Linked DNA regions of Schizosaccharomyces pombe. Changing the gene in region 2 together with the main gene of any one other region gives a genetic interaction. Each region holds a gene or a part of one and is shown on either strand. Other genes may lie near its edges.

Region 1 (3,758 bases), on a different chromosome or scaffold from region 2:
GCTTAAAAAATGATATTCATCACCCCAGTTTCTGAATTCAGGTTTGAAGTTCGATCAAATGAGGATTAATGTTTGAAAACCGAGCATTTTGCAATCTACTTTAAATTACCTTCAGAAAGCGACTAAACAATCTTGTGCGTTGAAAGTTAGCTTAAAAAAGTTACAATTAAAATTTAACTTAATTACTTTTTAAATTTATGATGTCCTAAACAAATCAATATTGCTAAAATAACCAAATTCCATAAACAAGAATTAAATAAGTGCAGAATTAAAAATGAGAGACCAATAAGAAGAGTTAAGGGGATAATCTTTAGTACAAGTTGACCTATATACATGATATTGGGGAAGTGAAGTAGAGCAATGAATTTTGAATAATCATAAAAAGTAGTCGGCAATGGGTCGTTTTGTTGGAATGCCAGATCTTTCTTGAGAGGCAGTACCAAAAATCTTAAAGGATTGCGTTTGGTTTTCATCAAGTTGTAATATAGAAGCAACATTTCCACATCTGTAACAGTAATTGGGTGCACTCCAAACAGTAACCACGCTTCCTTTATCCTTTTCTGGAATGGTTATTATGTCTCCAGGTGCCGGAGAATCATCAACAGGTGAGGCAGAATCTGAATCCAGCTCAGAGTCCTCTTCATTTGTAAATTTGGGATACTGTTTATCTTTATCGGAAAAATGGATTTTGTAACCCTCCATAACCAATTGATGAGCACGAGCAATGAATGAAAGGTCATTAGCGCGATTAAAAACTTCAGAAACGTCGGCACCAAACAAAAATCCAGCACCTCTGGGAGATAAACCCCATCCACTAATATCTTCTGGATCTGACCAAAGTAGATCACACATTGCTCCTTCATGCGGAACTTCTTGTTTTCGATCCAACAGTCGAATCTTCATAAAAAGCGTTAAAAGTTTAGTTCAAATTTTCGGAATTAATAACATACCTGATCGATACTGCTGATGCTTGGTGAAAGTCCACCGTGCACACAAAAAACCTTTCCATCCACCAAAGCACCAAGCGAAAGATAATCAAATATTTCACAACAATATCGCCATACATTGGCAGAACCATATTTCCTTACACATTCGTCATAAAATCCATAAACTTGTGTTATTTGTCGTGATTCATGATTTCCCCGGATAAGGGTCATCTCTTTCGGATATTTACATTTTAAAGTCAATAACAGGAGAAATGTTTCTACAGAGTAAAACCCTCTATCAACAAAATCCCCTAGAAATAAATATTTTGTACCTGGACATGACCCACCAATTCGAAAAAGCTCCAGTAAATCATGCAATTGGCCATGGATATCACCACAAATGGTTACAGGAGATGAGATCCATTGTATGTTAGATTCCTCAATTAAAATATCTCTTACACGCTGACAAAGTTCAACAACTACCACAAAACGTTAGACCCCATTCTTATAATTATGGCAAAGAACAACCAATATGAATGATCGTTGTTATATCGACGGAGATAAAAGTTATTCTATAAATACTATTATACATACCATTTGATTCTGGAATTAACCTTCCGTTCTCCAGTTCCTCAAGTTGCCAATCCAAATCTAAATCAGTCATTTTGAACTCGTCAAAACATAAAGTAAAGAAAACTAGAATAACTTGGTCCTTTAGAATAAGAAAATAAACAAGTGAAATTCTTTTTCAACTTTATGTATCATTTAAGAAATTTAATTTTAAATAAGTCAAAATACCTCTGTCAAGAGGTATGACGCGTAGAGCTTTGGTGACTAAAATTCGGTTTTCCTTTTGATAATGACTTTTAAAATAATTAACATGACCTCCTTAATTAGCAGCTTCCGAATTTTATTGACACATACGTTGCGTTACGCTAGATTGTTTTTCAGAAAAATACGGTTGCTCCACCATTATTAGTGCTTTCATCTCGAAATGAAATGGACACAAGTTTTTGTATTAGATTGTTTTTTTTTAATCATTTATACTTAAAATTAATGATGAACTAGAATCTTTTAATTAAGTTGCATGCTACTCCAGTATGATTATTATAGCATGCCGTATTATCATTGATCTTGAGTTTTTATAACGCTAATACAAGAACGTGCACCTACTCATATATATATCTAGATTATAAGAAAAACTCCTATAGTTCTAACGGATCTAAATTGTTCGCACAAATGCGCAGCTTTGATGTTATAGGGTTTTTGTGAAATAAACTACATAACACTATAGCTTCTTGGTAAAAATCAGATAACACTCACAATTATAGGTAAAATAATCTGTATGCTGAAGGCGTACCCCTGTGGCGGAATATACACTCAATATAGAAAAACTGTATAGTCAATTCGTGTTGCAAACCCATAATTTATGTGAAGCTTTAACATAATTTGCATACTATTCTTTACTTATGTTCAGTCGGCAACTCAAGATGTTCAAATAACTAAAAAGATTTTAGAAATATATTCTTTCTATCTTTCAATATGGTTTACTGCAATTTGCGTACTATCAAAAGAATGAGGTGTGTAAGAAATGCTTGCCCTGAGCAGTACAATGCAATTTTTTAATACTTTAACTATATCAATCAATGTGTATGCTGTTGTTTTTATCAAGTATGAAACATATCTCATCTTGGTTGTTTTGGTCGCTTGTTATAAACTCATTTGGCTAGTAAAGCGACTGTTAATTTTATGTACAACATACAAAAATAAAATGTTAACAGAATTGTTTGGGTATTACGTAGAATCGGAGTATAAGCGCAACACACTAGTTTTTTTTGCCGAAAAAATTATTTTCCAGACGTTTTAATACCGAGGGATAAAGTTATCTGATCAGTCACGATGGTAATTAAAAAAATGAGATCGAGAATGCCGTTTAATGAATAGACAATGAAAAAAGTGAAGAAGAATCATCAAAACGTACATCAAAAGTGGTTTAACTAAAAAATTTCGAGTAATTTACTTGGATATGTTTTTTGCTGCAATTATATCATTTGCGTCGCCTATTGTGCAAGGAAGAGATTTTACTAGATACGTTTTCTACACTGCTCAGCCGAACCTGCCGACAACCAACTAGGAAAAAATAGGGCGTTGATTGTTGATTAAAAAGAATAAACTAGGTTTTTGAAAAAAAAAGTAGGAAAAGAAATAATTCCTCAAGCTGTGCTATTTTGATTGGAAATGAGCGTCGAAATTACTTTTGTTGAACAATTTCAAGAGATATTGCAAAATGGAAAAGAGCAAATAATTTTACTCAATTTTTATGCACCATGGGCTGCTCCATGCAAGCAAATGAACCAAGTCTTTGATCAATTTGCAAAGGACACGAAAAATGCCGTTTTCTTAAAAATTGAAGCTGAAAAATTTTCCGATATAGCAGAGTCGTTTGATGTAAACGCTGTTCCTCTATTTGTTTTAATCCACGGAGCAAAAGTTTTGGCTAGAATTTCGGGGGCAAATCCTCAAAAATTGAAGGCTGCTATTGACGAGTATATTCAACCCCTTATCTCCCAAATATCCTCTACCAACGCGTCCGTGGAAACTCAAGTAAATTCCGTTCAGACTACCAACACTACTTCCAATACCTCTAAAGCTCCAAATGGGTTGGATTCTGAACTAAATGAAAGGTTGAGCACGCTAACAAATGCTCACAATGTTATGCTCTTTTTAAAGGGTACTCCTTCAGAACCTGCATGTGGTTTTAGTCGTAAGCTCGTTGGATTACTTCGTGAGCAAAACGTTCAGTATGGATTTTTTAACATATTGGCTGATGAT
Region 2 (3,758 bases):
GAGAGTCTATAGGTCCTTGAGACCGAACGAGCAGTGGGCAAGTGAGAAAAATTTGTAAGTGATTCTTCAATGATAAAATCTCGCTGATAAGGATAAAGACGAAATAAATATTGTAACGTTTGAAATAAAGGAGCTTTAAGAAAATCGAAGGATGAGCTGTTACAGTTAGGAAGTTTAGTTTTGAAGGAATTGTCGAGTGTAGAGACTTTGGGAAATAAATATACAATGCGTATGACCACAGCTTCCGACAAGGGAATTTCATGGGCAACTTTAGATAAGATGTTTAATACATTTGCGACTTTTTGTAACAAAACTGATAGATGTTGAATTTCAGAAGTCCTAGCATCGGAAGTTTTTGATTGAACGATGTTATCAATCGCTTCAGGAACTGTGTACTCAAATATGGAATGTAAGATATTAAGTAAATGAAGAATTGATTCTTCATTTTGAAGCTTTTTAAAGGAGGGGACCAGAAATATTATAAAAAGAACAAGAGCAGTGGTCTTTAAAATAAAGTCTAAATTCGGAAATTGTGTGAGGCTGTCATGAAGATTAATTATACTGTAACAAGCGACAGGAAGCTCTTTTAACTCTTTCTCAAGGATTTGTTTTACAAGTATTATACTCCCTTCTTCCAGCAATTTGTCACAAGCTCCCAAACGACTAAGCTTGGTTAATGCCATATATAGCTTTTCAATTGCGTGCGATGAAATGTGTTTTCCATCATCGTCTTCTCGTTTAATAAAGAGAGAATTCGATGAAAAATCTTCCGAATTCTCAGCTTCTATAACTTGAGAAATTAGTAATCTGGTATCTTGCAACTGCTTTAACAAAACGTCCTGCAACCGCTGGATCTTTGAGGGAGATTCACGAGGCGAATAAGTGTCTTCCATAAGTCGCTTTTTTGGGGTAGTAATATCATCTTTAGATTTTTTAGGGCTACATAATTGAACAGCGTTAAATACGCGAGAACATGATGGACTTCGAGGACTTGAAGACGGAGTTAAGAAGCCATTGTCGGAAGATGAACGGTTTGTATTTATAGAAGAAGCATCAGGTTTCTCCTTGGGTTCACACATCAACATACTTGGCTGAATCAGAGATTTTGTAAAATCATTTAATTCACTTAACGAGTCACTGTTACACACCTTTTGGTCTAGGACCGGACTGGCATTCACCCTCCTTTATATTTGTCAGATAAAAAACCTCAAAAAATTTAACTTACATTGCGGGCATTGCAGGTTCCGTTATCATAGCGCTAAGAGCATTTTTATAAAAATTAAAGGTTTCAGAATCGTTAACGAATGTTGCGCCAGGATTTAGCATATCCACATATCTTTGCATAATACTTGATTCTTCGGAGTTAAGTTGCAATGGCTCATTTTGAAATTTAGAAGATGGATATAATACGTTTTGTAAACCTATGTAAATTAATAGACGCGTTCAAACTGTATGCATACCATTTTCCAATGGGATTGATGATGCTAATGGTGTGTATTGAAGCCCTTTAATAATTCGATTAGAGGAGTTAACTTTTTTAAAGGTTTCAGGTGTCATCTCGAAAAGCATCAAAACATTGCAAAGCTAAGAAAGGGAAGTATTTATCATTAAATTCATTCATCTAAAAACAAAGAAACGTCGGTATATATAAAGCGTAAACAAGTTTAAGGCAATAGACCGAAACGGGAAAATGCAATTAAGATGTAAGCTACGCAGTTTGGTATCTGATTTAAGGATACGTAGAACTGCGGTGAGTTTTCCTTGTGATCTATTATATTACAATACACAGGTTGTATAAGTAGCAACTGAGTATAGGTATTGTATTAACTGGGTTATAATGTTACCTATCACTAATATAGCTCATAACTGAACTGAGGAACGAGTTCAGCAGTAGCTCTATTTATAGTATTCAGATAATATAGATCTTAATAGATTATCATTAAGATTAATTTCCATATCGTATCATAAATGGTACGATATATAATTAGAACATGTGACATATAGTGATACGCAACGTAGTGTATCATAGCGTAATGTAGTATTGCTGACATAAGAAACGTTCGTACATTTCGGATATTGGTGATTACGTATTTCTACAGTGGAACACTATTTAGAATCGGTCTCTTGGTTAGGAAAACGTGCCAAGGTCATTAAATATTTGGTTTTCTCCTAATAATTTGCGGTCTTGTTTTAAAACATACTAAATATTTTTGTTGCTTTAATCTAAGTTTTATCTATTACTATTCAAACAGAAGACAATGTCTTCATGTTATACTGTGATAGAACAGCATTGAGAAATTCTTTTTTCGGCTTTATAAGGTAACACTTCAATTATATTAATTCTTATATTTTTAATGACTGTGCTGAGATTTCATATTTTATTAAAAAATGCCCACATATCGCTTTAATTATCTACGTTTCAACAAACTATGTGTTTCCTTTTTTCGAAGCAAATTTGACAAACGACCTTTCGCTTCTCAAAAGTTTCCTGAAAATTTAGTTCCTGATAATTCAAGTAATGACGCTAATTCGCAACCAGAGGAAGTCTCAAGCAAAAAACCATGGTATGTGGATGAAAAACATAATCTATTTCCTAAAAAAGCGCATTTCGATGCGGTTGCGCTGCCACCTATTCCAAAAGGTGCTCCAAACTTTTTAGCTGATGTGTTAAACCTTCTTAAAAAGAAGTATTATGCCACTGATCTCAGTTTTGTTAACTCACCCGCCGATTCTTTTTGGTGTGATTCAGATCTTATTTTACTAGCTTCTTGCAACTGTGGATCTGAAGTTGTATCCGCTACTAATGGCTTACTTCGCCTTTTAAAACAAAAAAACGTTGGACCGGTGAACGTAGATGGCCTTACTAGTGCATCTCGGAGAAAAATTTTAGAACGGAGAATGAGGAAACGTTCCAATTTGTCAAACCGACAATTAAACACGTCTGAAAATAATTGGACATGTCTCAGTATCGAAAACTTCGGCATAAGCATTCATGTAATTACAAAAAATTTTAGGGAATACTATAAACTGGACAATATTGAACATGTTAAGGATGAAACTTTGTATTCTGATCTCGAACATGGCAAACAATCTAGGGTCTCACTCACTAGTAAATCTACACCTGATAATTCTTTACCTCCAAATTTTATTAATAACCACTCGAACGTATTTCGGAGAAGTTTCCATACTTGTAACTTTTCTTTAAAAAGTGCCGCATCCCTTTATTGCGATACCCAGGATATCTTGTTAAACGTCAATTCACAAAATCTGACGAGTACTTTGGAAAAATATAAGAAAATGCATCTCCAAAATCCTAATAATTTTTCTTTGGATTTTACTCTTTCAATTTTTGAGCGACTTCGAAAAGATTCTTCTTTGCAACTGACTACAAAGGATATCAATACGCTTTTCAGTACTATAGCTTTGTCTCCAACAAAGTTGAGTATGGCTTCTAAACACTCTAAAAATTTGGTTAGTGAGCGGATGTTGTATCTTTCACTAATGTATAAATCTTTAGTCGATCTAAAAACCATCGATTCATTTTCACTAAAACTACTTTTTTTAAAATTTATGATATGCTCTTGTATGGTTAAAGGGGAGTCAAACTTCTTTCTCGACAACCGCATATTTCTTTTGGAAAGGATTATGAACCGTTATGGAATACCCATGACTATTGACACGTTTCTACTCATGCAATTTATATTGGCAAAAAGCAATCGTTGGAGCGAAGTTTGGCGTCGTTGGGATAATCTTAGAAA

What was found. A genetic interaction does not mean that the proteins touch.
Region 1: mutations in mis4 (region 2) and pph3 impair growth when combined (synthetic growth defect), as found in Schizosaccharomyces pombe (one study listed by BioGRID).

Annotation. Positions count from the first base shown.
Region 1 is NC_003423.3:3,954,340-3,958,097, forward strand, and holds pph3 (serine/threonine protein phosphatase), read right to left. Parts: upstream 1,748-3,758; 5' UTR 1,591-1,747; coding exon 1,521-1,590; exon of another isoform or gene 1,406-1,520; coding exon 951-1,405; exon of another isoform or gene 917-950; intron 898-916; coding exon 376-897; 3' UTR 213-375; downstream 1-212. Other genes in the region: CIA machinery monothiol glutaredoxin Grx4, read left to right, coding at 3,165-3,758.
Region 2 is NC_003424.3:395,321-399,078, forward strand, and holds the start of mis4 (adherin Mis4), read right to left. Parts: upstream 1,620-3,758; 5' UTR 1,570-1,619; coding exon 1,461-1,569; exon of another isoform or gene 1,422-1,460; coding exon 1,226-1,421; intron 1,183-1,225; coding exon 1-1,182. Other genes in the region: ATP synthase complex assembly protein atp25, read left to right, coding at 2,389-3,758. UniProt on the Schizosaccharomyces pombe protein: Plays a structural role in chromatin. Chromatid cohesion molecule required for equal sister chromatid separation in anaphase. May form a stable link between chromatids in S phase that is split rather than removed in anaphase.